Linked DNA regions of Neodiprion lecontei. The main gene of each other region encodes a partner of the protein of the gene in region 4 in a complex. Links are inferred from orthologs where the notes say so. Each region holds a gene or a part of one and is shown on either strand. Other genes may lie near its edges.

Region 1 (8,060 bases), on a different chromosome or scaffold from region 4:
TCGCTGGTCAGTATGTACCAAGTTATCGAACCTTTTTTCTTATGTCTTTCCTCAGCCAAATTTTCTAGCCGACGTATCCGCTCCGCTTGTAATTGAAACAAACTCTTACCAGATGGCAGACCGACGTTGAACATTCCCTTAGGATAACTCACACCCAGGCGGGTTCCTTGTCCTCCTGCCATCAAGAGTACAGCGGTACGTCCATCAGCTATTTCTCTGAGACCCAAATCGTGATATTTTTGAGTTTCCGCAAATGTAGAATTCTGCAGTGAGGCACTCACTTCGCTGGGTATCGGGCGTAGTTTGGCATCTAATTTTACTTGATCGTTGCTCAAAGATGCAACGGCACTTTTAAAATAGGATGAAATCTCTTTCAGATTTTGTTCCTCGATATCCCGAATGAGTAGTAATTTTTGATCGTCACTAATTTCATCCCAAAATTGTAACAGATGGTCTTGATTAAACTCCCGTAATTTATATAATAATTTTTCAACGTCCGTTGCCATCGCGATTGATTTTATGCCTTGATTTACTTAACTGCACACAGCTGGGTATTGTTTTCAATATTCATTCGTTAATTATAGACAACCTGGGCCGGTAAAAGTCTCAAATATTACATTAGGTGAAAGTCTACGTGTGACAAATGATACGAGTGACAGGCGTTTGAATAGCTGACATTTCAACATGCACAATACGCCGACTTAACCCTACCCAAACCCGCCTGCGCCCACCTCCCATGTGATAGGTAGTTAACATTTGATTGGACCAAGGTGCTTTCGAAATAATGTTCTCTGCTTATTTACATTCACAATTAGACCCCTCTTTCCATATCGGAGAAATGAAAGGGATGTCGAAACACCGACAGGTTATCTTACCTGCGGGAGTTGTGCGCGTGGCAGGCAATGAGACCCGGCATATCTTTGGGTAAATGACGTCACTACTGCAGATCAGCGGCACAAGATTATGAATTCTGGCGCGAAACATTCCTCAAAACCTGCGCACTGTCCATATTAATATTGTAATTATCTTTATAAAATTTCGCCATTTGGATTGATTCTCAGTGAAGATAGAAAAAAAAAAAAAAAAAATGTGACTGTAAGAACTGCTACTTCGATTTAGCAGTGAAAGCATTTGGCACGTTGGAATTGAACATTCGTGCTCAATTATTCGGTCAGTGGTGCATTGTTACAACTAAATTCCTACCGTTATTTTGATATCGTTATCTTCCGTTTACGTTACTTGAAGTCTAAAGCGTTTGACGTAAAATGAGATATGATATGAGATGGAACTGAACTTCAAAGTTAATAATAAAGTAACTTTATGTCGTGCGTTAAATCGTGAGGTATTTTAAATAGTAATTAACACGTATAATTTGAAAGTAGCACTTATATTAAAACACTCTTAGCATTGTACCTGTTCAAACTGAAGGTAAAACGCATACGGCATAAATGTGTCAAAATAAATATGAATTTTTTTACGGAAGATACAACATTACCAGCCAGTCTCTGCAAGGTATAATAAACCTCCGCATTTTTCATCTCGATTAACAATGACCAAAATTTGATTAGCAATCGAAATGAGAATAGAAAAGTGCAATTGCAGGATCCTCTGTTTCACAAGTTATGAGAACGTCTCTGAATTTGTCCAATATTTGTAACAATTGCGATCTTCGAATATTTTCAAGATACATAATTTCCTCGAGATGATGACCGCCTTTTAGATACCCAAGTCTACATAATTTATCTAGTAAAATCATATCCTCCGAAGGAATTGAGAAACCATCTGATTGATACTCAAAAATTCCACTTGTCCCACGTAAGGCAGGAGAAGCCCCGGTATCGCTTTCTCCTGGTGTACCGGCAGATGCGTCAGTGCCTTCCCAGCTGTGTTGATTTTTCATAGACTCGTTTGGCCCAGAATCATCTTCTGTTATGCTTGTCTGCAAGATAGAATCGAATACTCATCTCTTTATTTCGCAAGTGATTCAGGTGTTTATCACTTTTTCAAAGTTCATATATTACCACTTTTTGGCAACCATGCAGCGTTGGCATATATTGAATGTAAGTATGCAGCTGAAGTAACAAATGATTTCTCAATAACCAAATTATTATTTTCACTAATTGAGTCTGTTGTTGTGGTTGGCTCAGAGGGTTCAATTTTTGACTAATGGATGTCGGTAAAGAAAAATCACTGATCACCTATGAACAAACAGAAATATTCAAGTTTGTTATGTATGACAGAGTAAATAACAGAAAATTATACGTGTCCAAAAGCTAGTTTAAGAAGCAAAGGTCAATGTTTTATCGCTTACATGCAGAATCTGTTTCTTTTCGTTAAATCTAACTCGTCTTAATAATGGAGATGCGAAAGGATATCTCAATAAGATTTTTAGAAACTTCGGAATCCTCTACCGTAAATACTTTTTTTTTGCATTACCATTACATGTTTGTAATGTATTCTGTGACAATACCTGTAGTAGACACAATCCTGGAAATTGTTCTGAAAATGCATCCAATAATTGAGCTGTGAGGACAGCATCTGGAGCTACGACATATACGTTGCTTTCACACAAGGGATAGATAATAGTAGCCTTTGCCCAATACACTAAATGTCCAGTCAGTTGGAATACCTTGGCAAAGGTGATACTTGTTAGTAATTAAAAAAACTACTATGTAAACATTATCAAACCCTGAATGTAGTGAAAAAGAAATCCCATTGAATATGCACCTAATCCTCAATATTCATTCAATTGTTTCAGTAATTGATACAGTATTATTGAGAAATATTTTTGAAAAAAGGCAGAAGTATTTTCAATCAAAATTATCATTATGGCTCACCTGTGCCAAGCTGAGATCTGAATCTGCAGCTAATGTTTGAAGACTTTTGAGTGGGCTGTACATTTGTATAAGACGTACTAGCGCTGGAGCCGAGTCAGCAGGAAGCGAATCTAACAAATCTAAAGGCTCTATCAAAAGTAGTAAGCCATGATACGGTCGTAAACTTTCGAGGCATCTGAAGTAAATAATTTCATTTAAAACGCGAATGATTTGATTATTAGTAGTACTGCGATGTCACAGAATTTAGTTATCATAATTTATCGTAATATGATAATAATTCACAATCATTCATTGCTGAAAATTATTTACAAATTATTTGCAGAGAATTAAATGATGATGATCATAATGAATTACCTGTCAATTATTTCTGGGTTCATAATGAATCCTTTTTTGTGAGATTGATGAACTTTTTGAGGTAGACAAAAGCTAACTTGTATCCATTTATTAACCATGATATTTATTACCCCTGATGTACTCAGGCTATTGAAAACGGACTTCAAATCTCGAGCAAGAGAACTTCTTTGCAATATAAGTTCATAAGGGGATTCATCAGATTCACTTTCCTCTTCTGATCTGGATCGTATATTCAATTATAACATCCGTGTACAAATTACATCTAAGAGTATGACAATTTATAAAAAGTGGAAGTAGAAAATTACCGAGCAGCTACTTCGTCATGAGTGGAAACCATCACTTTTATTTCGTCAGTAAGAAATCCGCATCTCTTTTCCTCATGTCTCAAAGCTATTCCCAGTCTGTATAATGGAACATCCAAAAAATATGATGGTTTTTTAAAATAAAAGAAATATATAAGCTATTAACTACTGGTGATGAATCATGTTCAAAATCGAATTGATAAGTCACTAAGGTAATTGTAGGTTTCAGTAGATGTTTGAAGATACAAATAATTTATCCTCAAAGTTACCTTTTACTGAGATCGTAATAACACTTAACAACAGAGTGATTCGCTTGAGCCTGCAAAGCGAATACTATGTTGAAGAGCATGGATGAATTGACATCTTTTAGTCCCCTAGAAGGAAGCAATGTAGGGTGTCCAACAAAGCGTACATTGTTGACTTTTAGTTCGAACTTTAATTCACAAAGCTCGGGTTTAACAGCAAAGAGGGTGGACAAAACTTCGTCAGATAAGCCAGTAAGATTGCCATTGCTTATATTGGATGTTGGAAATGGTGTCGACTGAAAATTATTTAAATAATGAAAAATAAACATGCGCCAGATAATAATTATACTCCACATTGATTACGGTCATTTTGTTAATTACTCCTACCAAATTTACAGCTTCATAAAAAATTGATCAATTGTTAAATATTTTTGCAACATCATATGTAATGCGATCAAAGTAATGTGAAACGAAATAAGAATTCCACTTGCTCACTCAACAAATAAAAATGGTAAAGTTAAGGTAAAAATCAAGGCAATTAAAGAGCATGCGAACATACATTTGAGTAAGCACTGCTTAATACAGTAAAGAAGGGGCATTGGTGTTTAAACAAGAGTACAGTATGGAAGAATTTTCATCAAAAAGTAAGAAAAGTGAGAAAAAAAAGATAGAAATAAAAATATAGTAATACTTGAATTAATAGGAGGTAAATAAGGGACAATGACCAAATAAAATCTTTATAGTTTTGTATAACTCCTCTTACATTGTAGACATATCGTATGAAACATACTGTATGAAAATTGATTATAATTTACATGAAAATAAAGCAACAGAGTCGTGGTCTTATCAAAGATGATATTGGTATAAGACTTGTTTGCGATAGTTTGGGATTTTCCAGTGCAGTAATATTAAAGAATAAATATGAGGAATATACTTGTAATAAATCCTCACTGATTGTTAACGCATAAGGATTCTTCCTCTTTGTAAACTGTTTGGAATCTCTCTCAAGATTAGCGGCGTGAGGATATCTGAATAACATTCGATCGCCCTTACTGTCACTCTTCACTAGAATAACGCTTAATGGATTAATCTCCATTTCCTTGTTTCTCGATGAGCTTATGAGTGAACTCAAAAAGCTCAATCCAACTAACCAATGCTCCGAGATGCCAGAGAAGTTATGAGAGATTGGTTACAGACTCTTGGTATTATCTTAAAATCATAACTTAAATCAGGAATCGGGTTACATGGCAAAAACGCGTATAGACCACTTGCAAGGTTTCTTGAATTTGAATTCGACAAATAAAAACTAACGATCCAAATTTTCTGTCATTATGTCAAACCTCGGATTGACGAGAGACTGTTACCAACCCAATAATACTTACCTAACATAACCCTAACCCTAACCTAACTTTAACTCTAATACAACGAGCTGTCATGCCTTCCACGCGCTGTTTAACGACGCACTTTCTATATCGCAGACAAGGATGAAAATAAAATCAATACTTCAAGTAACAATTCCCGAGGTCCGCTGCGCTTTACATCTTTCAAACCATCCTGGACGAGGTGTGAAATTTGTTAGGTTATGGCCTGGGGCTGGGAAGAATTACTTTATTTCTAGTTTAATTCACGCAGGTAGGTGAAAATTACTGCATCGGGCAATTGGATAAATGCACAGTGGCCTGCGTTCGGTCGTTCAGAACTTAGAAAATGAAATCAAATAATTATATCCGCAATTCGATTCGCAAATCGTATCAACCAATGAAACGGTCTGCTTTGACAGCATTTGACAGCTTACTGAAGCAAGGTATCAGATGCTTTCTGTTTCTGCTAACACTTTGCGAATATTAACTGGAGAAGAATTCAGATAATTCGTAAGTTTGAATAATACATATGCGAATCTGATATGCTGACACTGCGATTACTCATCTTACATTCAATACTTTATCAATCCTCTTCTTCAACATTTGAATAATAATTGTAAATGAGAAACCATCATTCTGTAATTCAAGACTTCTATGTCAACTCATCACTATCTATCTTGTATCATGTTTTAGACATATTATCCAACAATTAGTATAGCATACTATGTTTAGAAGCTGGTGTCATAAACTTTCAATTCTTCTAAGATATTCATGATTAAGTATTCTTAGTAACTGACGACGCAGAACGAAAATTGCAAAATTTTATACCTTCGCAAAAATCCACCCTATACCGATGATTACAGTAAATTACAATAAAGTAATGTTATCATTCATTTTCAAATCAATAGATCTAATATTTTTATTGTTATTATACCAATTAAAAGTGTTCGTTTTTTGTTTTTAATATTTATAAGTTGTTGAAATTATTCGGTTCCTAATTGTGTTTCAAAAAACAACTAAAAGTATGGTACAAGATGGAAAAACGAAGTCACATGAATTTTTGCACGACATTATAACTAAAATAAAAGTAGATCAATATTTCGTATCAGACTTTTTCATTTTATATGTTACACGACACTGCTCAATATATTAATAACTCTATTACGCCTTACAGTTCGTTCAACATCGTTATTTGCAAGAACCATTATGAAAAATCTAAAAATATTCATTACTTCTATGCCTGCTTACCAATTTAATAAGTTGACTCAATTCTTGGAAATGTGCAAGACGATTGTTAGAAATCTATGACCGGCATTGGAATGTGAGAGAAGAAAACTTTGTATAATAGATTTCAGAATAATTGTCCCAATTGTTCATGCATTATCAACATTAAATTCAGTTTCAAAATACCATCTTTAAGAAATGACCTTTGCTGTAATAAAAGTAGGTTACTTAAAGAGTGACTTTATTTTTAAACATTCTGAACATAAACATGAATGTTGGTAATGATTTGCAAAGTGTTCATAAACCTATAACACATTATGGTGGATAGTAAAAGTGTTGAAATGGTAAAGCATTCAAGTTTGATATCGTACATGCATTTTGCTAAGGTATTCTAGAGCCCTAGAGTTTACAGATTCAAAGTAGAAAACGATTTCTATTTTAGATTAACGGGACCATATATTGAAACGAATTTTCAACATGTTTGAAGGAGCAGTTGCAGCACTTCTGAACCGTTTTCTAGGAAATTATGTCGAAGATCTAGATACCGAAAATTTCAATGTAGGCATATTTTCTGGTGATGCATACCTTACAGATTTGAAGCTGAAAACAGAAGCCCTTGTACGTAGAGACAGATATTTATACTTCAATAAAATATTCTTGTGAATATTTTAACAAACATATCTGTTTAGCTATTACTTCGTTAAAGACTCGCAAATTTTTAATTTTAGTATCAACTTGGGCTTCCAATAAAAATAAAAATCGGATTAATTGGAAAAATTAGTCTGAAGATACCTTGGACTGGTCTTACTTCACAGCCAGTTATTGTCAGCATTGAGGTATGATATACATCTACCTTCATGATGACTTTCCGAAATGTACTCACAACTGGAAAATTATTTCAGGATATATATATAATAGCAGTTCCTGCCTTAGGAGATGTATATGATCCTGAAATTGAAAAGCGTCTGATCAGGGCAGCGAAGAAAAAAATATTAGAGGACCTAGATGAGGATTACTTTCTTGGATACGGTATAACACTGCCATTAGCTAATGATAACTTTAGATCAGAATTTCCTCATAAAAGAAATTTGCATTTTTCTTAGGAATAACTTCTAGTCTGCTCGACAGCTTGGTGACATCTGTTATTAACAATTTTCAAATCACCATCAATAATGTCCACGTCAGATATGAGGACAGTTTTACACAAACAATACCCGTTGCCTGTGGCCTATGCATTCAGAGTCTATCAGTGACTACCACTAACAAGTAATAATATAACTAAACAATCACACCACGTTTGTTTATGCATGTAATTTAATCTTTAGACCTGGAAAAATTTCACCAACCAATTCTGCTTTGTGTTTTCAAGTGCAAAACTTACTTTGCTTCAAAAACAACCACTGATGAAGATAGGAATTTTTATGCATCGAACAATATTATTTATTTTTCTAGCTAACAAAGTGAACTTTTCTCTCTGTAATGAATATATATTTCAGGCTCGTGGCTGTGTATTCGTATGCTAACGTTGCTTTTACTTATTATTTTGTATTAGATGTTCACTGTAAGTTTTCACAACTGCCTTTTTTGTATGAATTCAATTCCTAAATTTGGCACGATTTGCAGTAAATGGAAACCAGGTGTGATTGCCACAAATTCAACATCTATTTATCAACTGATGAGAGCTGAGTCGATATCAGTTTATTTAGACCCTAAAGCAGAGACTTGTTTGCCAGAATA
Region 2 (7,029 bases), on a different chromosome or scaffold from region 4:
GAACAGAAGCGGTTTAGCAGGGTCCCAAGCTCTGGCGACACAGGTAAGTATGTTATCGCACATACCGCTGGCCAGTTTCCCCAGGGAGTTTGCATCCAGAGGAGCAATCAGGTACAAATCTGCCCACTTGACAAGATCGATGTGAAGTATAGGGTCGCCTCTATCTTGCCAGGCAGCCCATTCCACCGTATCCGACAATATTTGGGTACCAGGTGGCAGGTCGGACTCTTTGAAGAAGTGCTTAGCTCTCTCCGTCACGACAACTCTAACTTCCAAGTTTTGTTCCCAGAATTTTTCCGCTAGAGTAGGAAGCTTGATTGTCGCCACACTACCCGTGCAGCCTATGAGGATCTTTTTTCTCGTCGTACAAGACATATTTTCAATGTATTATCAAACCAGGGTATTGACATGAAACGAGAGTAAGGTATTATATCGCTGCGTACGACAGCCTGAATTAAAATTATACTTTCAAAGATAAAGAGGGTAGATACAAGAGCACCCTCTCTTAATTGTAGAGGAAGTAATTTCACGGCGATATATCGGTTACCCTCTGATTTATAGGCGAGCTAAGAGGCGGGGTTAAAGAGGTTATGTTTCCTTTTTGTTTTCGTCACCGAAACCCAGCTTTGACCATTCCTCTTTAGCCATAAGATTGTTGTCCATTCTACAGCCAAGGTAATCTCTAGCGACGTCTCTGCAGATTGTGTTGTTACCCTTGTTGTCTCTGAGGCAACGCATGTAGTCAACCATAACCCGCTTGCATTTGCCTTCGTGATCCAATGGAAAGCTACCCTTCTCGGGCGGCGTTGGGGTGAATATTTTTTGACCGAATGTAAACGACGACATCACGTCTTTACACGATTGTTATTACGCGAAACATCGACTCTTAACTCCTCGTCCTTATCACTACCATTGAGCAGACCTTAACCTCTGTATTAAATGTTGGTATAAAAGAAAATGAGCAAATCACCTCCGACTGCGTACATACGTAACGGTGGTCAATCCAAGGCAATCCAAGCTCCACAAAACTCACACACTAGCTATCTGCTCTATTTTACACGTGCTTCAACGCACGCACACGCCGTGCAACGAATGGTTGACGCAGTCCCCTGACACCACTGACACACGCTGCTAAAAGTGGTTCACAAAATGTCACTCGATTCTGCCGCCAATCTCCACCACTATTGGCGCTAGTAGTTGTCTGACAAGCTGTCAGAAGTCTTTTAGCGCCACGTAGAGGAACTAACAAACGGGGACAAAACGCGTACAATTTTTTAGTATACGAGCAGTGCTGTGTGTCAGGGACCTGGTGTGACGTCGGAACGGTACCTAGTGGAAATCTCCAGATGTTAGACACCGGAAACATTCACACGCAGCTACAGCCAGACTCACATCAGTAGTTTGGGTCACCAATTACCGATTAAGTATTGAAATACACCGGACAACGGGCATTCTGTCGCTCTAGTCGAACGAACCGAAGAGGGAGAAATTGTTGGATAAAAGATTTAATTTGGCTTACCTTTTTGAGAGTATTCTGGATGCGATGACTTGTAGATTGGTGAGAGGTCTTAGTGGAATAACTGACTTTAATATTTGGATATTTTGACTAACTTGGTTTATTTTATAAGTTTGATATTTAAAAGTCACAAACGCAGAGTTACACAGTGTAAGATCTTAGACTTAGTAAAAATGGAGTTGAAGCTCGCTGAACTTTTGGGCAGAGTAACGTTGTATGAAAGTTTTAATGCAAAAGGCTAAAGGATTTTACCGCGAGACTGTACCGGAACTAGATGACGAATCTGGAGGTAGAAACACAAGAGAGCGATCGAGTGATCGGTCGCCGTTTTTATAGGGGTCGATCGTTGCGCAGAACGATCCCCCTCTCTAGTTTTTTGGTCGCCTTTGCGCACCTCCCCTCTTTTCTAGGAATTCTAATTAGGGCACGACATCTTCGCCGCATGCACGCCTGTGATCTTAGTTCTTTAGCTATTACTATATTGTAGGTTTTTACGTATGGTATATCGCTGCTTGGTGCGGTGGTGTAGGTGCGTGGACTTTGTTCCGTAGTTCTCTGAACTGCGTGAGCTTTTCGTTGAGGCGCCAGCCCCCTTTGTGGCGCCAGCCCCCTTTGTGGCGCCAGCCCCCTTTGTGGCGCCAGCCCCTTTGTGGCGCCCGTCAGCCACTTAACTACCTGTCTACCTCTGAATGTTTTTGCTATCTTGCTCGTTACAAAGCCCATATTTCATTTTGGTTACCTGTCGTTTGTTAGTTTTATAGTTATATCTATATAGAATTGTATATGTATTATAGTCGACTACTGTCGTTGTTAGTTTTATAGTTGTATCTATATAGAATTGCATATGTATTAAAGTCGACTACTGTCGTTGTTAATCTGGAGTACAATAGCAATTGTTTATGAACATAGTTTGTTATTTGTTTAGCATTATTAGAATCACGCTGCTGCGAATATCTTTAGTTGTTTGTGTTATAACTATCTTAACAGATTTAGGGTACTTAGTAATTTGATGATTCATAGCTTTAGAGCAGGTTTACATGTGTGCTTTTGTATATGATTCCCTTCTGTAGTTGTTAATTCTTATATTGATATAAATCGGCTTGGAAGCTTCTAGAACGTTTTCGTTTCGTCGGTAAGTTTCCTAATGTATTCTCTAGGTGAAGCTCTGTTGGCTCCACATTGGAGATCTGCATTGCCTTCAAAACGTTGCGCGTGTTGCCTACAATACGGCGTTGCGAAAGAAGGTATAGTTCATGCTGGGTAATTAGCATTCACGGTTTGATGGTTTTGCAGTCTCTGGTTTTATGGGTTATTGCAGCAGTGCTATCTTTACATTATATTGGTTATGCATTTATCTATGGTTTTACAGTCTTCTATACTCCAGGCTATATAGTAAAGCGTATGTTGCTTAAGTATAGCTCTCAGCTCCGAATGCACAAATGGCATTGTTGAGTGCTATATAATAATTGGGTATAATTGTGTTAGTTAATTATAGTGTTAATATGATAGTGATATATAATAACGTATAATAGTATTATAGTTCTCTGTGGTACGAAGATCTCGTAACATGGTTTTTAAGCCTTGGCTAGTGAATTTCATAGTTATTTCCATCTAGGGATATTCCAAATAGTTAGACAGTTGTTTTAATTTCTTATGGTTACAAGATTCTCGTACTTCGAGTTTGGTTAGTTGATAAAAGTAACATGCAGTAATAATAGTCGATAAAACATACGGACGTTCCGGTCGGACGTTACACTGGGTTGACACAACTCTCTGCATTCGCTATTTCTCGTGTCAAGTATCACCATCTATGAGTATTACACGCTATTCGTCGATGACTACCGAACTTTGCCTCTAGAGGCGGTAGTGGGGAGGAACCAAAGTAGGTGTGTTCGTCACACACGGAATGCACGTGGTAAAACCACCGTTACAACAAGCACATGGATCTAAATATCGGAACGCACTCGGTGCTGTCGTCAGTCGGATCTAGCAGAATAGGCCAATGAAATTAGTCAGTGTCGTGTTTTGTCAGAAAATTGACGTAAAAGGCAAGCGCTCATTAACTTAGGCCGGTATTCATAGTCAGTGCTTAAGACCGGACTCGAATAAGACGGTCTTATACGAGGCCTTAAGATGGCGTTTGGTTCCATAGACGTCAAACAAGACGGTCTTGAGACGCGGCAAATAAGACGGTCTTCATCAAGTCGGTCTTATTTGAAGCGTGCTTACAAGGTTGCATAGTCCAGTCTTATTTGAAATAAGCATGGTCTTGAGCACGCAACGTTTCATAGTCAATTAACGCAGTCTTATTTACGTATCTTGGGCCGGTATTCATAGTCAGTGCTTAAGACCGGACTCGAATAAGACGGTCTTATACGAGGCCTTAAGATGGCGTTTGGTTCCATAGACGTCAAACAAGACGGTCTTGAGACGCGGCAAATAAGACGGTCTTCATCAAGTCGGTCTTATTCGAAGCGTGCTTACAAGGTTGCATAGTCCAGTCTTATTTGAAATAAGCATGGTCTTGAGCACGCAACGTTTCATAGTCAATTAACGCAGTCTTATTTACGTATCTTGATCAAGTCGAGTTCGGACTGCACTTAAGCAAATGCTTGTTGCCTAAATATTACTCAATTGTTCTGATGCGTACGAAATTGATAATTACGAATTGTTTGGAAAATATTATATTCGAACAATATAAATTAACAGGAATAGATTGTGAAGGAATGTTTGGGAAAGTGCAGCTGGGACGGGATTATTTACTGTAAAAGGGTAGCAACGGAAACTTGCAATTGAAGTAGAGGTTATGAGAGCATTCGCTTTGAAAAATTTGTGAAGTGAAGTGAATAGTGAAATTCTACTGACATGGCGAATATGCAAGATATGTTTAATTTCTACGATCAGATCGAAGAAATGAATAATATGATTGTTCAATGGTCAACGTTGGGCCGAATGACGAAGACGAGGGTGAAGTACAGCGAGCTCCGAAGAGATACATCAGAGATGGTCAAAACCCGTTCGAGTTTTATTCCGAGCAGGAGTTCAAACGGCGATTCCGATTTTCAAAGGATGGTATTATGTACGGAATACTACCTAGAATTGAAGCTGCCTTAGTCAGTGCCAATAATCGTGGTCTACCAATTCCACCTGTCATGCAATTATTAATATGTCTACGATTTTACGCTACCGCTAGCTTTCAAGTAAGGATCATTGTGATTATAATTCCTGATATTCTACTGAAAATATAAAGTGATTTCATTGCTTCCTGTGATCATGGAATAAATGATTGCTAATACATTTTGTACTGTACAGCTCGTCAACGGAGATCTGATGACTATATCGCAGTCTACAGTATCGAGGATAATACACAGAGTATCGGCTCAAATTGCATCATTGATTCACGCAATTATCAAATTTCCTAGTACGGAAGCTGCTATGATCGCAAACAGAGATCTATTCAGACAACTTGGTGCACGCAGGGAGGGTATCGGTTTACCTGGCGTTGATGGCGCTATCGACTGCACTCACATTCGATTATGTCATACGAAATTTGCAGACCTGCAGGAGGTTTATAGGAATCGTAAGGGATATTTTTCCCTCAATGTACAGGTATGTCGCGTTGGTGATAACCGTTTACAAATACCATAAGTTGCAATTAATTTTATCTAGGATACAAATAAACAATACTATTCTATGAAAATCGGTACTTTTAATTTAAATGATACCACAGGCAGTTGTCGGACCCAATATGGAATTCTTGGATGTGGTTCCGGAATGGCCTGGAAGTAACCATGACAGTCAAATATTCCAAAATTCACGAATTTACATGCGGTATCATGAGAGACAACTTACTGGAACCCTGGTTGGAGATGCCGGCTATCCGTGCTTGCCATTTCTGCTGACTCCACTGGCAAATCCAATTACAGATGCTCAACAAAGGTAAGATAAAGATTATCGCATTACTTTAGATTTCGATAAGTAGTCATAAAATTGACAAAGTATACATGTGTGAATTAACCAAGTCGGTATCTTGATAGGTATAACAACGTACAAAGCAGAACAAGGCAAATTGTTGAAAGAACATTTGGAGTTTGGAAGCGACGTTTTCCTTGCCTATCCCGAGGTTTGGGAACCAAATTGTTGTGCTCTACCACAATTGTTGTAGCTTGTGCCGTACTACACAATTTATCACTAACATTGGATAATGCTCTTCCGGAAGATAATCGCATCGAGGAAGAAGAAGCGGATGAATTGCCACTTCAAGCACCGCATTGGCAGCCTGGAGAGGGTTTTGCAATACGCGAAGCTCTAATCGAACGGTTATTCATTTAATCAAAATATATGTATATCAAGTTAATTTAATTGTAAAGACTAATTGATTTTAGAATGAATATACTCCAAATATTTAATAAAATTGAATTTAATCTGTACAAACAGTTAACATTAGAATACATATTTTACTCATAACTTATCATTGGTTCTCATTTTATTTTTAAACCCCTCACTTACTCATGAAAATACTGATATGTACGTAATTGTACTAAGCGTCAGTCTTATAGTTACGATAATACTTATGAAAATTTGTCTACGTAAAAATATTCAGTACATTATAAATACAGCCAGTAAATAGAACTAAAGTTGCTCTTTTGAACTTTGAAGATCAAAGGTTGTCCCTTTCACGCGCATTTTTTTGCAAGTCTGCACCGGGATTCCTTTTAACATATCAATACAATTTATTTATCAGTAACCGGTATAGAGATTTACATAATGATATAGGTTAAAATATGTGTATATAAAAATTATATACACATAAACATACACTATAAAATTCTTTTTCTTCTTCTTCGTTTTATAGCTATACACCCACTACAAAAAATTGTATGCGATTTGTTCCCGTTTTTTAGTTCCTCTACGTGGCGCTAACGTTGTTGTGTTCATAAACTATAAAAATACTCAAGAGCTGCATGCCTATACGAATATCTTGCACAGGCTGAGAAATAAAATCCGAGCATCTTATTGGGGGATACATCGGAAATATTCCGAACATAACCGAACGTCGAATAAGACCGTCTCAAGCTCAGTCTTCGTCAAGACGGTCTTGAATGAAATAAGCTAGCGCTTGAGACCAAATTCTTGACGAAGACCGTCTTGTTTTCCGACTATGAATACATAGCATCTCAAGACGGTCTTGAACGAATAAGACGATCTTCACCAAGACGGTCTTAAGCACCGCCTTGAGACCTGACTATGAATACGGGCCTTGGTCAAGTCGAGTTCGGACTGCACTTAAGCAAATGCTTGTTGCCTAAATATTACTCGATTGTTCTGATGCGTACGAAATTGATAATTACGAATTGTTTGGAAAATATTATATTCGAACAATATAAATTAACAGGAATAGATTGTGAAGGAATGTTTGGGAAAGTGCAGCTGGGACGGGATTATTTACTGTAAAAGGGTAGCAACGGAAACTTGCAATTGAAATAGAGGTTATGAGAGCATTCGCTTTGAAA
Region 3 (6,056 bases), on a different chromosome or scaffold from region 4:
TTTTTTCACAATTTTCTACAATCTCCAATCGGCAGCAGACACATATTGCCCGTTTCTTTATCTTTTTTTCCCCCCAATGTGCGACACGTCTTTGTTCGTATTGCTTTTGCTGCTCGCACCTGTGTACAAATGTTTTTTTTATTTGTGGTTGTTTTTACATTTTGAAAAACGATCGATTTCTGTCAAATTTGTAAATATCGATTGTCTGTTTACTGCAAGTTATAAATTAAATATTGGGTGTCCGCCAAAATTGCAGAGAAATCGCAAACTAATGTTCGATTTGCATCTGCGTTTTACGAGTGTAAATCAAGGATTTATTAAATTATTGGAAGAATCGATTGAAAAAAAAATTTAATAAACTTTTTAAAAAAGTTCACCGCCTATAGTACAGTTTGTAGTTATAAAGTCAAGTTTCGTTTTTTTTTTTTTTTTTTTTTCCCCTTTGCACAAAAAGCGAAAGAAAAAGAGAGGAAGAGGAAAATACGTTTTATACACAATAATAATGATAATCTGATTTTTCTCTTCAGTTCTATTATGCTAATTTCACAATGCTCGTTGTTCTGGATTGTTCAAATTTCCCTGACCCTTATTGAGCTCCGAAATGCATGCCCATTGGCCTTCGGAATTTTCACGCCACAGAGATACTTTGTTGTCACCTCCGCTCACTGCCAGAATCCCACCAGTCAGAGACCAACTGACGTTCCATATAACGTCCTCAAACACGTTCAGGACAGTCGACGTCCAACTTGTGCAATCTGTCGACGTCCACACCACCACCCTGCGATCCTGAGAACAGGAAGCCAGTGCCGCTCTCGGTGGTCCAACTGCTGGCGCCCAGGCCACATCTCTGACCTAATTTAATGTTGCAAGGAAAAGAAAATGGCTGGTGAATCCACTAATTTTATCTACAGCATCTTTGTTTTGCTAATGCTGAATAATTTCTGATATGAATTCAACTCTTTTCTATTGATCTTACATGATTTCAAATCGATCACGATTGCGAATAGGTGATTAGCCTCTGGACACAAATGTTTCACTGGGAATAGAAAAAGTAATGAAAATTCTTTTCTTGCCCTAGACAAAGGGAAGAGACCAGATGTCCAAATTTGGTGATACTTGAAACGAGTTATTACTTACCCAGTCGCTGTGAGCCTCGAGTTTATTTTCCTCGATCCATCTTTCGTTATCCTCCCTCCATATTTTGACCAAATTATCGCATCCTCCAGTCGCAAGTCGCTTAACAGGTCCACTGCGAGGGTGAGGCGCGGTAGCGTCGTATCCAGGTTCAATGGCTGGGCACCAACTGACCGCATTGCACCCGATGGTGTGTGCGTTTGGAATTTTCTGGGCATCCCAGGTGTCACCATTGTTAGAAAGTATGGAGATCGAGCCGTCAGAGCTGCCGCATGCTAATATTAGTCCGAACTCGTGCGGCGCCCATGCAACGGAGTTCACAGACGAGTCGTGGGACGCATGTTCATATATCTTGGTCCACTCACCAAGCTCCTTCCAAATTATGACTTTCCTAACGCGAGATAAGTACAGTTTAGATTTTGCTTATTTTTGCATAAGGTCGGAAAACCGTGGAGCAAAAGTATTGAGATCACCAAATTTACCTGTCGTAACTGCAAGATGCCAAGATGTTGCCGAACTTCGGATGAGCCCAGGCAACTTGCCAAACAGGACCGACGTGGCCTTTCAAATCTGCAGCGAGGGTTTGCGTGCCGTTCTTCAGATCGAATATTTTCACCGAATTGTCACTTGAGCAGGTAGCTAACCTCAATCCGTAATAGTCCATTTCGGCATCGTGTATCATGTCCTCGTGGCCCGTGTCCACCGTGTTTAGAACGGAGACCATTTTCAATTATCTCTTCGTTTACCCGCAACGAGTTATTATTTATATTGTTTCTTTCACTATTTTTTGTTGTCGCAAATTGTCCGTTGCAGCGATTGAAGAATAACCACACAACTGATCCAACTGACATACGTGGAATCTGATGAAGTGGACACGCGCTAAAAGGCACCAACATCAGGCAACGAAAAGCATCAGAGTCACCACGAAGTGCTAGGGATTTTTCGTAAAAAGACAACACGTGCCCCACGTGCCTTTCCATTTGTTATGTTATTTTATCTATCGGCGGGATGGTTCAAAATTTGAAGTAGAATACATATTATATACTTTTAATTATGTCGATTGTGATAAATATTATTTTGTTCGTTATTTTTGAACTAGTTATACACTGACTGGAGATTGACAAATACATGATATGGCGTACTGTAGAAGGAAAAAAATAGGTATATTACGACTAAGTAAAACTAGAGTTAGCCCAGGCGGTCCAATCAATACCAGAGAAGAATGAAGACTCTTTGATTTCGGGAATAGATAAACGTTCCTCTGGCTTGTATCGCAATACCTGAACAAGGAGAGTAAGACAATCATATACAAAGGAATTCATTGACTTGAATGCACTGCTTCATTTATTTTGAGAACTAATTAAGTATTTAAACTCTTCAAACTCACATTAGAGATCAATGATTTCACGTTCGCTGATAGTTCTTCAGGAATGTTGAGAATAGAATGCGAGTGATATGGTCCAGGATGTTTAGTTTGGAATTTCTGAAAACAGAAAACATAAACTCAACGAATATCAATTTAAACTATGATAATTGGACATACAATTCCAGTGAAGAGCTCGTAGAGCAGGACTCCGTAGCTCCAAACATCGGCAGCAGTGGAGGGTGGAATTGTTGGTGAGAAGATACAAAGTTCAGGGGCGGAGTAGGGCTTCTTTAGCTGCAAGAGTTCGAAGCTTCGTTTTGGGACAATGTAAGTCATCGCGACATGGCCTCCGCTGCCTAATAATATATTATCTGGTTTTAAATTTCCGACTATGACACCCTGCTGGTGCAGAGATTCCAGTGCCAGGAGTATTTCAGCTGCCCAATATCGGATGGTTCCTTCGGGAAGCTTCCAGAGTTCGTCATCCATTTCAATACCGCTGTCCTCGTTAACGATCGATTGCAATTGGCCAGAATTCATAGTTTCCTCAATCACTCTATGAGAGCCATTGAGTTTTGACGATTCTTTCACTAACTCGTCCTCAACTTTGAAGTTCTTAACAAAATTAGACTTAGAATTTGCCAAAGCTTCGTCTGATCTTTCATTTTTTGCTTTCAGATCTATATTTCCAGATCCAATACCGTGAACACCATCTATGCTGTTACCTTGACTGAGTTTATCGATTTCTGTTACATTTAGGGCCTGAAACTCCCCACCGTGAGCTAAATTTCGAGAATGATCCGGCTTATCTTCACTGTACAGTAAAGTGCCAGATTCATTCAACCTGCTGGCTATTGAATTGCTTTTCTTCAGAGTGGCGTCAACCAATCGCAGAAGTTCTTGGGCTTTAGCGAGTAAGTCCGTGGTTTGAAATGTTTTAACAGGCGCAGCATTGGCTCCAAATTTTGCCTCTAATCTTCTGAGCGATTCATCAGGATCGATCGTCTCCTCTTCTTGCGGATCGAGATTTTCTCTGCTGCCACAAGCTCTGTCTTTCGAAACCTCAGCAAGTCCGTCAATTTTCGGTAACAGTCTTTCCTTAACTCCTAGCTTCTTCTTTTCCAGACTCGACTGAATAATAGCGTCGCAACTCACTGACCTTGTATGCCCTTTCTCTCTCCAATTAGAGACTGTGTTGCGGCCCTTGTAGTACGACTTGATATACTCCCAGAGCTTTCCTCCACTGAAATGTAAGAGCTGAGTCGCATCATCAAAATCAGCAAAGTCATATCCAGTTTCCACTCACCTCGCATAGTGCAGGACAAGAAATATCGTCGAATCCGTTTCTATGCATGCGTAAAGCCGTACCATGAATGGGATTTTGCCACGCAGAATGTAATCGCGGAGACTCCCAAGGCACCCAGCTGGCTTTTGGACTGTCTGGAAAGAGAATTACTAATTGAAACATCGCTGCCCAGATCAAAGCTAGTTCTTATTTATTTTTCAAAATGACGAATAACACAGAGAGCTTTACCTTTATAACTCTATTGCAATCACGCAAAGTGTCTCTGACCAGCATGACCGAGCCTATAACACGTAATACTTTATAATTTCCCAATTCACTAGTAGGCTTGGAAAGCATGCCTACGTTGCAGTTCAGATGCCTGTTGTAAAGCCTCTCTGCCTTCTCCAAATACTTGGATATCTTGTCTCTGATCGTGGCTCTGCGCCCGTAATCAGGGTCAGATTGAACACCATTGAGTAGGTTTGCTATGCCCAATTTATACAGCGTGAATGCTTCCTCGTATTCACACACAGCCTCGTGTCTGAAAGCTGCGCTCATGTGGGTAGCTGATACTAGAATATAACTGCTCAAGTCTTCAGCGGCACCCTCAGGTAAGTCAGATCCATCATGGACTGAAAAGCCATTCGAAGCTTGAAGCGAAGCTGTGAATTTAGGGGCATCATACCTGTCACAGGTTGGCGATTGCCTCTCAAGTTTTTCTTCGTCATTCTTATTATTGATTGGCTTTGTCCCACTTATGTTGACGCCATTCTCACTGACCACGCCAATTTCGTCAATGCAGTTATTGTTCACAGATAAGCTCTGGGAAACATTATCACTCGTCTCAATATCATTGTTGGCTAGTATGATCGTTCTGCCATTTGAAGTCGGAAACTGAGTATTCTGCACAGTGGTTGGAACGTAGCTGGTGCCTCTGAGAGCGGAGTTCAAGTTTGGGTCCTCTTCAGAGGTATCGGAGCCGATGGATGCCGAGCAGTCGGTTAGATAGTCTCTGGCATGTCCAGACTCGAAGAACTTGACAACTACATTGCTTGTAAAAAGTGGAGTGTGCCTTGCTACAAACTCCAGAAGTCTGATTGCACATTGTCGTCGCTCCTCAATAACTTCCGCCTCAAAACGGCCAAAGAACTTGGGCTTTGGGAAAGGTGGGAAGGCCTCTTTGATCCTCAAAGTGTCATGACGGCTGCTCAGCTCCAGGTACAACTTCCTAAAGTCGCTGTATCGCTTCCAAACCGAAACTCTGGACACAGCCTCTGGGGCTGATTTAGGATATATCTGAAAGTAGACGAGCAGCTAAAGGAGAGACTGTTGTTCGAGTAGACTTAAAATTAATAATAGTATATGTACCGACCACTGATGTAACTTTGTACACGGTAAATCCTTTCCTGTGACGCGAAGTCTCATTGATAAGGAACCTTCGTACCCATTTTTCCTTAGATGGTGCCATTTACTGTTATTAGACTTTGAATCGTATAGCACCCAATTATTGACCAGGGCTTCTTTGTTCATGCGAACATTTCATTCGAGCACGGCTCGTGCTTTTCTCTCTGTGTTAACCCAACACTAAACCAGTCTTAAATTACGCGAGTCCAAGTCTTTTTCTGTTATGAACGAAGGTGTCAAAAATGTATCGATTAAGTGTGGTGGTTTGGTGGTATTTCCCACGTGTATATGCATATACATATGCATACTCTATAGAATTTTGAACAGAAACTCTCTAAATTACCCGCACGCCATCTGGTCGCAGGAATTATCCACTGAGTGTTTACCCATGAACTCGGCAACGCAAAAGAAATAAAAGATGGTTCACAGCACTAGGGTTAGTTTCGGAACGCACCCGCAGCAGCGATCAGTAGATTTATCCCCTCTACAGAACGCAACGAGTTTTTTGCGTTCCGCAACGAACTGCATAGCGACCATGAGGCAAGGCGGTTGGAAAACAATGATAAACATCATATACATGCGTATACGTAACCGGCAACAATAAACTTCGATAATTCAAATCGCGTTGTTACAAACAAGTTGTTATACTTTATATTGTCAAATTGAAGTTGAGTTTTATGAATAAAGAACACCCGTTTGGAGGATCTGGCGCTATCCGATCCTCGCCCAGACGGTAAATATGTTTGTTTACGACGTGTTGGACAAGGAGAAGGTTTACCAGATACTGTCAAACGATCTTCGGAATTTGGGGGTTAAACGCCGGATCAAGAAACAGGCGGCGGCGTCTTCTTCAGCGAAGCCGGACTC
Region 4 (9,848 bases):
GAATTTTGTGGCTTAATCATCTGCACTAAATAGATATGGACACGTTTGGTGGCATTTATATCAATGTAATCTAAATGTGTTCTACACGATTTGCAAACTTGAGAACTCTAGTATTCAAGTTTTCAGAAAGTTTTTTATTTGTGTTTTCATACAAAAGTCACAAACCAAATATCTACATCAATGAAACACTTCAGCAAAGTTATTGTTTAAATTGTATGACTGCATCTGCTTCATGCTTACAAGTCTTGAGACAGAGTATCTCTTGCGCATTTTCAGGTATTTTTCGACCTAATGCGCGAGATAAGGTCTCGCAAGATCGAAGATAAATCTGCAAGTAATGGCCGTGGAAAGGATCGTGCCAAGAGAAAGAAAAAGATGTGCATTATTCTATAGGTTGGCAATCTCCTCTCGCACTTTTATTCTCCTCATATGGTATTTTCATACTATAAACAGTGCATCAGTCTTCCCCTCTGCATAAACTTACCTACTCACAACTAAAATCTATTGGTACATGTATCGCAATCCAACTACAGCATACATGCTTATTTATTTTGGAAACGTTTTTTGAAACTTTCAAAAACTTACTATATAATATGATATAAAAGTTCAACATAATATTTCTGTAATGGTTCATACGCATAAAAATTTTGATGTTACCTTGTTGCGATGCCATATTGCTTACTTCCGTTTTTTTATTGAATTCAGCTCAACGTATCTTTCCATGTACTGATGCAAATGTAATAGTCTATTATTTAATGTCTGTAGCTGATTTGTAAATTTCTTTTACCTTTGTTAAATTTTTATTTAGTTTTGCTTAAAATTAATGTTCAAAAAGTACAGCTTTTGTAAATGGAATGCTTCTTAATGTTAGAAAGTTGAATTTAATAGCTGCTTAACTTTGATCCAAAGTGATAATATTATTTATTTACATGTGTCAAACTTTAATTCAAGCAACATAATTCTTAAATTTACCAACTTATCTGCCAGACAGAAATATCACCTGACTTTCAAATAATTCTTACCATTTAAATTACTTAAAACTTGTCTACACAATACCATTTTTGTTTGGTAGTTTATAAAATTGAAAGAATGATAATTCCAGGTATTCTTTGACCTAATGCGAGCAATAGCTGCACGCAAGGCTCAAGAAAATCAGGGTGAGGGGGGTGAACGGAAGAAGAAACCAAGTTGCTGCATATTACTTTAACATATTCAAAAACGATCATAATTTGAAATCATTGCTGCGTATCTCTTAGCGAGGTATAATAATATAAATAGCTCCTTTGTTCCATGGCATGAAGATATTTCACATTTCTTCAAAAAGGGATAATAATCATTTGGCCCTGACATCTGCTTATACCATTTCAAATGAATATTTGATGCAATTCGTGCAGCTGTAATTTTTACACTCATTAGTGGCTGTAATGTTTTCAACAATACATGATAAATGCCCAGTCGTAACAAACTAATTTAAATGTACACCTATATGTATATGCACAAGAAATGTGCAATGCTTGTGCCCTCTATTCTGATGAATTTGGTACAAAGTAATTTGCAATTATAGGAACCTCACACTATTTCCACTGCTCATATTTGAACATGCAAATATTTTTGCATCATTTTTGTACATGTGTAATACCTACTCGTCATTTGATTCCATTGCATCGTCATTATACTCGACTGGCAAGTTGCAAATTATGTCATTTGTATATCTAATGCAAGCATGCTTGTATATTATATAATTACCGTAATTTAATTTTAATTTTTCATTTCGTTACAAAAAAAAAAAAATTCAATAAAATTGATTTCCGTTCAAAGCTGACAAAATTTTTAATGGTGAATATAAACGTGTAGCAATAAGTATTGTGAATTTGTAGACGTACTTCAAAAATAGTTTTCCGTTTATTTTCGGAAAGAAAATGCATTTTCAATTAATTATTTGAACGCAAGTATAACGGAAATCTTGTAATCAATAAAGTGAACACAACATTAAAAGTATTATATTTTCCCAGTGACATAAGCTGTATAAATTCTTTTTACGTTAAATGCAATACATAAATAGCGTTGAAAATTATTTTCATACTTTTGTACTTTTCCAACCGGTAAATGTGCCTTTTCTTCAATATTCTAAATTAGTTGAATTGAATATCAGACTATCTCTATAATAACGTCAAGTTTTCTGATTAATAATATTAGCTCCCTGGTTTCGTAGTATGTGAACGATCTTATTTACTGTTAAATCGAGTTTTAGAGAACTAACTGGTCTAAAATTAACGATCTTTCCTAGTATAAGTTCTTGTACCTATAACACAATAACAGTGATTCAAAATTGTTGCTACACTTGGTAAATATAAATTTTGATTTCTTTTGTGCAATTAATTTGTTCTTACTGAAAATTCTAATAATGCGACAACTCATTTGTGTAAGTTTCAGCGTATCCGAATTCAATTACTGTACAGATACTGTTGATACGTATATAACAAAATTTTCAGATTTAAAAGTTATCAATTGGACATTGTACGATTGTTTTTTGTAATACTTAATACTTTATATCACACCTCAGTTTGCAATTTACTCACTCGATAAACGTCGTGAAAAATTGTAATATAATTTATAATTCTGTACCTTTAATATGAATACACGATTGAAAGAATCCTGTCATGGACTTTCAAAGCATATTACAATCATTGCAAGTCCTTCATCCATGATTTATCCACTATGTATTTTGAATTTCTTCAGAAATGACATATCACAACATAACAGATCAAATAAGAAGTTTCGTATGACTTTTATACATAAAAATATGAAGTAAGTACGGACATTATGTTTTGTACTTCATCTTCTCTTACTGCTTGGTTTTGCTACTAGCCTATTTGCTTTACATATTTACAGTAGTTGAAACTATGACAAAAGTATGTACATTATTCATATAAAACACAATAATTGCATATAAGGAAACAATCCTAATTTTGTATTTGTAATGCATGTGTTGGGTCCTCGAGACCTTAGATTCTTTTCCCACACTCTTTTAGTCACCTTATACCCTGCATCCTCTTCTTATCATCACCTCACTGTCTCACTTTGCATACCGCATCAGCAGAATGCCCCCTCTACTCCTGCACTGCAACTAGCCCAGTCCTTTGCATCCTTCACCCCATATACAGACTCTCAAGTCGTCATTCATTCGGATATCTTAAAAACCTCTCTTCCATTTTTTCTCCCTCACGTCTTCTTATTGCACTCTCAATATCTTTGACAATAAATCAATTATACACTCAAACATTCAACTCCTCAATGTAACTTCTTCTCATTTCCTCTAATTCTTCGTACGTGCGCCCAGTCGACGGGTTATGAACTCATACTAGGCCATAATAACATCGCAGCTGGGTGTCGATGCGGTCATCGATAACTGCTCATCGTGATCACTATCATCCACCCCATGACATATGAATAACTTTGGTCGGTCACTGACGAATTATTAGTAAACTTTAAAATTTAGCGATTTGAAAATCATGATTCTATTGACATTTCAATACACTCAGCACAACACTATATGTTACTGGTAGTATAAGATACATGGAAAGATTTTGTGAAGATTTTCAAAAAACATTTCATTTATAGGTACATCATTTCTCCATGCAGTCTCTTTTTCCATTGATAATAATCAAAAACGTGGGATTAACCATAGTCAAATATAAAGACCTATTCATTTGTACATTTTGTCTAATTTTTACTGTTAATATTGTTAATGATTTATAAAAATACTTGTCACGACTAACCGTGTCTATTCGACAAGTTGAAACATTGCATAATTGTGTAATGACCTCTGAAATATAATCAATTCTTAATGGGTTGAGTAGAAAAAAAAAGGAGCTGTGTGGTCTGTTGATACGTACTTAAAACTTACTCTTGGCACGAGGAAAGCGCAGGATATTGTATGTGTCTTCACTAGCAGCAGGGTTCTTACTTCAAATTACAATTATTGATTTACCAAACCATTACCTTGAGTGTGGTGAAATAAATCTTAAATTTCAGGGTAAAAAGTAAAAAGATGAGCATGTTTGCTGCATTTGGATCATAAATAACTGTGTAAATGTCGAATACTCGTTGTCAGTGACTAGAAGGTATCACTTTGATACGACATAACATTGTGCGATTCAAAGATAATTATGAGCGTGATCGGAGTTACTATGCTGTACTTGCCTCATAATAATTATCTTACTTATCGAAAAAGTTACATTAAATACTCCTTTCAGTAAGTAATTGCATCCCTAAATTAGGTACTGTAATACCTTCACTGGTAGCCAATAGAGAGCCGAAGTTTTGCAGTTAAGTAAACTCGCAAATGTGGCCACAGCCTGTTGGACATTGACGATTACTCTCGAACCATTCGTTCATATGAATTACATGTCCCCCGTGAGCACAACCTTGACACCATGCATACACACCGCGCACAACCTGAAAGGCCTTATTTGAATCATTTGGAACATTTGTTGCAGTTAAAACACTGCTTAATGTGAAGCAGCTATGTTATGACTGATAAAAATACAATACAAGTTACACTCACTTGATGACAAATCGAACAGAGAGCATGTCTTGAAGTATGACATCGATCACATAACCACGCTGACCTCTGAAGAGGCTTGGTACACGTTGTGCAGCATGCATGTATTGTTGTTGATTGCTGATTTAATTGAGACACAGACGGCATCCAGGCTAGCTGTATAATCTATGGATCAATATTGTTCAGTGTTTGTTCAACCACCTCATTGGCTCTCAAAATATTTTAATAACTTTTAACTTACCTGAGTAGCAATTTCCCATAATTTAAATCTACCTAGCATGTCGATATATTCGAGTAACCAATGCTCTTGAGTTGCTGCCTCGATGTTCAAACTTTTTCTTCGTTCTCCAAGAGCAATTAATATCGACGCTGATGTCTGAACATCCAAAATTGCTGCATGATGTCTCAACGCTTCTTCAATTAGCTGTGTTGGATCCCAAAATAATGGCTTGGGAACGGCAGTCACTATCAATTCACAAGGTTGATCCTCTACTGTGACTGATCCAGAATCATTGTCATTCATATCTGGAGAATGATTGGGAAATTGTTCAGGAGGTGGGGATCTATCCTGTATTTCGTGTCGCAAAGGAAATGCTTCTTTAGGTAATGTCCAATCATTTTCATGATTCATGAGATTGTGTATATAACCAGATGTGTAGTCCATTGTTATTGGTTCGAGTTCACCATCTCCAAAGAAGAAATCACCTTTTGGTTGACATTTGTGTCCAGCCAGGTATCGCCTGTGACTTTAAAAACAATTTGAATTGATAAGTTACACATTCTCAATAAAAAATTGCACAGATATTAATTTCATACTGAAAAGTTATATTTGCAAAGTACCTGGGAAGTATGGGGCCAATAAAATTTTGATTCTCAGTCATTTCATCAGTCTCAGTCTCATCGTCGCCACCACTAATCACACCAGGCGCTTCACCTTGCAGTGATTTGACATCATTTTCATGACCTGAATAGTGGTATTATTATTATTATTAAGCTAAACGCATAAGTAGGTTGAAAAAGCTCAACAACTTATTCCATGCATTAAGTTCTACATACATGTTTAAGAGATTTGCAGTATTTTACTTAATATGGTAATCACAGCAATGTTGGTCATACCTATATTTGTCTGATCAACTGTTGATCCAATGCCAATTTGTGCAAGGTTCAGAGTGTTGACAGTATCATCTTTCGAAACATTTGGCGACGATTTCAACATATTTCCAAGTGGATTTGCATACAGTGTTTTCGTTATACTCCATACTGTACTTATCTATAACAATTTTTTCTTTATGATCTATAGAATGGCGTTCAAATAATGTTTACTGCTTACTTGTAATGTTTTAACCCGTTTGTACCTAAGTATGAATGGTGGAAGGACATATTTGCTTATTTATACGCACATCATTTCTGCCTGCAGTAATGGCAACTGCTGCATTATGATCACAAATATCATTAAGTCTACCGCTGAGTAAGTATCCTTCAGCACATTCCCTAAACCACTTAGGTTCTCGTGGCGCAGTTTCCGTGAATCTGTGCATCATACTAGAGGCCATACAGAAGGTGTCATTACTCGCTGGAGATTTCCTATGAACAATGAAATAATGTAGTAAAATTATTAAAAATGCCGTCTAATTGCGGCAATTAGCACAAGCACAAGAAATACCTCATGATGCTAGTTAACTGTTTAACAGTAGTTGGTGCGTTCACACTGATTTTGCAAGCATATGCCACATCACCCTTGCAGTTGAGTGCAATACCTTGAGGATTTGCTTTGCTTGCCGGTCTAGTTGCATCTTTAAACACGTGATGATATAATGTACAATCCTAGGAAACAAAACTTGTGAATTTTCGGTCTGGAACATTTTATTCATTTTGGCACTGGAAATACGTACCCTGCTTGTTGATAAAAAGTACTGAGGATCTCCTCTCCAGGCAACACCAGTTGGAACATCTTTATGCTCGTTAAAACTAGCAAACGGTATATAAGGCCTTCTAATATCCCATACATTAATGCTGCAGTCTACGACCAAGGCGCAGCTTGCGATGTGATACTTTCTTTGAGGTCGCCATTTTATTCTACCCACAGATGCAATTGTATGGATTGTATATTCACATGTGGGTTTAGCTGATATGTCCCAAACCTGAAGTATACAAATTTTAATCTCTGTTCTTCTATATAAGTACTAAAAAAATCCCTGTAGTATATTCCCATAACCATCTATACCTTAATTGTTTTATCACGTGAGGCAGTAGCTAGCCACGAGGCTTCAGGGTGCCAATCACAAGCAAAAATTGGCCCACTGTGTGCTGTGAAATGCTGGAAGCATCGGTCGGGTTTCCTCAAGTCCCATTGCTGAACATGACCATTTTCCGAAACAGCTGCAAATGTGTATTGTTGATGCGGTGAAAACTGCACATCTCGCACAGATTCTGTGTTGCTATAAGAGTGAACAAATCAATGAATTTACAAGTAAATGAACAAGACACAGATTGACTCTTAACTTCACTGGAGTATAAACCTTTGCAAGAGCAATTTGGATAGTATTTCCATATGGCTCGCTATACCTGTAAAATGTTTTAGTAGCCTCCTTAATTCTGAGATCAAAACATTTCATAGTTCCGTCTTGAGAGCCTGATATTAACCACATAGGCTCAGTCATGTGAAAGCTCACTTTATTCACAGTTCTTTTATGATCAATAAACACGTGTTCCTGCTTTGACCGAGAAGGTCGATTCAGGTTCCATACCACCACAGCACCATTGGTGGCTGCGGTTGCCAATATGTGATCTAAAAAAGACATTTAATCATTCTTTTATAGCATGAATTATGAGGTGTATGCCAATCCAGGATTTTAATTAGAAAATAATACCGATAATTAAGGAAACAGAGGATTTTCCAAACCAAGTATTGCTGCATCACTAAAAATATTTCGTATATTATTTACCATCGATTAAATTCCAAGCAACATCATTGCATGAAAAATTCAGATTAAGATTCTTCCCAACTCTCAGATTGCAGACTTCTTCAAACTTGTCTTCAAGTAGGGCGAATATTTTGAAGACTAAGGGAGAAAATCGATAATAAATCTTTAATAAACCAGTAAATTGTATTGAAAATTAATAAAACAGCTTAGTCGTATGGAAGGATTTGAAAAAGGTTGTCCTACCATTGCGTCCAGCGATCACAACTTGAGTATTATCCTTATTTAGGGCTAAGGCATTTGCCGGTCCCTCCTGCGTAACGAATACCGTTTTTGATGTCATGTTAACAACAGTGAGCTCCAAATTTTATCAACAATTGTCTCGATTTCTTCACGCGGTATCCCCTAATTCAGGTTGGACTATACAACTATTATCAAACGTCAGGGTAATACCGCATTCTGTGAATTACACATTTTACAAACACGTGGTACGCCTGCTAGAAGTAAGATCACGAATTGTTTGATTGATTGTTTTCATACAATGAAATACGCACATCATTCGTCATTGTGACACACAGTATTTATGCGACAATATAAACGTTATAACCATATAGAAGTGATTTATGAATTCTTTCTCCCCGATCTTTATGATTTTACGACGAGCACATTCGCAGTAATTACAGTAGTGTCATTAAACTAAAAATGATTTTTGGCGAGTATAGTGTAATGCATCCTCATTGGTACAATTGACGGGTGGTAAAATGTTTATTTATTATTATTGTTCTTCAGAGAGTGTTTTTTAAAAAAATGGCCGTGTCATCAACGCCCCGTGATCGTAGCATCTATATATGTATTTCGAAGCCGTGATTACAGCATTTGTATAGTCGATCCTGGGTTTTCGTTCTTTGCGGTGTGCACTTTTCAGCGATTCTTGACATAACGTGGAGTTAGTAATTCGCAAGTAAAAACGAAAAAATGGCAAAAGCGCAAGACCAGGAGCTGAAAAAAGCGTTTTCCGAACTACAACAGAAGATAATTGATACGACACAGAAATTAAAGCTCGCAGACGTACAAATTGATTCGTTAAAACGAACAAAGCAGCATGCCGAGCTCACGGTTAAGGAGGTAACCTCACTTCCACCAAACACGAAAACCTACGAGAGTGTGGGTCGAATGTTCTTGCTAGACGACATCGCGAGCGTAAAAGAAGGGCTTGAGAAACGGATGAAAACGGCCGACGAGAAGATCAAAACTCTAGAAAACAATAAAGCGTTCTTGGAGCGTAGCTTAAAGGATAACGCAAATAACGTTAGAGAAATGGTCCAGCAACGACAAAGCAACGAATCCTCTGGTTGATACAGCAGTTTCACATCTTTACTTGCTTTTACTCTTCTGTCGAAGTTGTACCCTTATTCAAGCAATATCGCATCTATCAGTTGTAACTCTAATTTAACATCATTATTATTTGTGTGCTTTCGATAAATGTAATCCATAAAATAAACCTATCATGTTTACATATTACCTTCATTCGTTTTACCTTACGTAGTTACTGGTTATTTAATAATGTAGGGACGTTACTTATTTGTCCTGGTGACAGTTACTGTTGTGCATATCCTTTGTAAGAATGAGTAAGTCACCTCTATGGTGCAATAATTGCTTATCCTATTTAGCCAGACTTCATCTCTCAAATTATACAAATTTAAAATTTCCGAACTTTTTCCTAGTGACCACATGTGAGAATGATCATTAAAATGTTCTTATAATTAATAAGACATGGGGTATAATTGATTTCAGCAAATCATTTTACAATTATCATTAATTTATTCCAGCGACAGGAATGTTACATACAACAGACTGTCTTCCTTACGGCTAATTTTTTTTTTTGTTTTTTCCTTTTTAAATTTAATCCACTTAGTTATCTTAAACTGATTCCGTGAACCTCAACATTTTTTCTTCATTTAAACTACACTTAAAAATCTACATGTGCCAAAACTTGGCGCTTCAACTGATTTATTGTATTTAAAAAAGAAATAATGTTATGAAACGTTTGTTTTTTCTTTCATTCTCCTTTTTTCCTCCTCAGAGTAAAAAAGATTGGAATTTTATAGATTGGCAATTTTTTAAAAATTTTCTCTAGTGTTAATCACTCTTCGTTTGTATGCAGTTATTCGTTAATTTCGTAATATTATATCACATATCATACTGGAATAACACAGGGAACAAGATTGGCCTTGCAATTGCTCACAATTATTTGTATTGCTGTTGAGTATTTCTAAATGGATACGAATTTGATGAAAATACAATAACAAAGCAATTAGTTAAAAATGATTAATTCACTCCAATCTGCAGATTTATTTCGAACT

Evidence for each region.
Region 1: GATOR complex protein WDR24 (region 4) and GATOR complex protein NPRL3 share a complex: the UniProt entries of both Drosophila melanogaster proteins name them as parts of the GATOR complex. The link is inferred for Neodiprion lecontei from reciprocal best matches to the Drosophila melanogaster genes Wdr24 and Nprl3.
Region 2: GATOR complex protein WDR24 (region 4) and GATOR complex protein NPRL2 share a complex: the UniProt entries of both Drosophila melanogaster proteins name them as parts of the GATOR complex. The link is inferred for Neodiprion lecontei from reciprocal best matches to the Drosophila melanogaster genes Wdr24 and Nprl2.
Region 3: GATOR complex protein WDR24 (region 4) and protein SEC13 homolog share a complex: the UniProt entries of both Drosophila melanogaster proteins name them as parts of the GATOR complex. The link is inferred for Neodiprion lecontei from reciprocal best matches to the Drosophila melanogaster genes Wdr24 and Sec13.

Annotation. Positions count from the first base shown.
Region 1 is NC_060263.1:27,315,000-27,323,059, forward strand, and holds GATOR complex protein NPRL3, read right to left. Parts: upstream 5,114-8,060; 5' UTR 4,835-5,113; coding exon 4,673-4,834; intron 4,035-4,672; coding exon 3,763-4,034; intron 3,593-3,762; coding exon 3,497-3,592; intron 3,411-3,496; coding exon 3,192-3,410; intron 3,013-3,191; coding exon 2,838-3,012; intron 2,630-2,837; coding exon 2,471-2,629; intron 2,199-2,470; coding exon 2,022-2,198; intron 1,940-2,021; coding exon 1,565-1,939; 3' UTR 1,369-1,564; downstream 1-1,368. Other genes in the region: UDP-N-acetylhexosamine pyrophosphorylase, read right to left, coding at 1-506; vacuolar protein sorting-associated protein 13C, read left to right, coding at 6,801-6,941, 7,052-7,159, 7,226-7,352, 7,427-7,589, 7,947-8,060. UniProt on the Drosophila melanogaster protein: An essential component of the GATOR subcomplex GATOR1 which functions as an inhibitor of the amino acid-sensing branch of the TORC1 signaling pathway.
Region 2 is NC_060264.1:241,318-248,346, forward strand, and holds the start of GATOR complex protein NPRL2, read left to right. Parts: upstream 1-3,402; 5' UTR 3,403-3,527; intron 3,528-3,605; exon of another isoform or gene 3,606-4,449; coding exon of another isoform or gene 4,450-4,716; intron 4,717-4,828; coding exon of another isoform or gene 4,829-5,125; intron 5,126-5,246; coding exon of another isoform or gene 5,247-5,455; intron 5,456-5,553; coding exon of another isoform or gene 5,554-5,848; exon of another isoform or gene 5,849-6,228; intron 6,229-6,773; exon of another isoform or gene 6,774-7,029. Other genes in the region: phosphopantothenoylcysteine decarboxylase, read right to left, coding at 1-375; cytochrome c oxidase assembly protein COX19, read right to left, coding at 589-846; putative nuclease HARBI1, read left to right, coding at 4,450-4,716, 4,829-5,125, 5,247-5,455, 5,554-5,848. UniProt on the Drosophila melanogaster protein: An essential component of the GATOR subcomplex GATOR1 which functions as an inhibitor of the amino acid-sensing branch of the TORC1 signaling pathway.
Region 3 is NC_060266.1:1,254,107-1,260,162, forward strand, and holds protein SEC13 homolog, read right to left. Parts: upstream 2,013-6,056; 5' UTR 1,859-2,012; coding exon 1,617-1,858; intron 1,526-1,616; coding exon 1,138-1,525; intron 853-1,137; coding exon 544-852; 3' UTR 501-543; downstream 1-500. Other genes in the region: ribosomal protein S6 kinase delta-1, read right to left, coding at 2,307-2,414, 2,522-2,617, 2,678-3,743, 3,807-3,940, 4,035-5,081, 5,154-5,315; rho GTPase-activating protein 21, read left to right, coding at 5,929-6,056. UniProt on the Drosophila melanogaster protein: Functions as a component of the nuclear pore complex (NPC) and the COPII coat. At the endoplasmic reticulum, SEC13 is involved in the biogenesis of COPII-coated vesicles.
Region 4 is NC_060261.1:40,149,358-40,159,205, reverse strand, and holds GATOR complex protein WDR24, read right to left. Parts: upstream 8,199-9,848; 5' UTR 7,829-8,198; coding exon 7,732-7,828; intron 7,627-7,731; coding exon 7,510-7,626; intron 7,353-7,509; coding exon 7,130-7,352; intron 7,003-7,129; coding exon 6,789-7,002; intron 6,706-6,788; coding exon 6,457-6,705; intron 6,389-6,456; coding exon 6,228-6,388; intron 6,149-6,227; coding exon 5,965-6,148; intron 5,835-5,964; coding exon 5,681-5,834; intron 5,529-5,680; coding exon 5,405-5,528; intron 5,311-5,404; coding exon 4,806-5,310; intron 4,730-4,805; coding exon 4,568-4,729; intron 4,459-4,567; coding exon 4,330-4,458; 3' UTR 1,620-4,329; downstream 1-1,619. Other genes in the region: ras-related protein Ral-a, read left to right, coding at 277-393; prefoldin subunit 1, read left to right, coding at 8,461-8,841. UniProt on the Drosophila melanogaster protein: An essential component of the GATOR subcomplex GATOR2 which functions as an activator of the amino acid-sensing branch of the mTORC1 signaling pathway.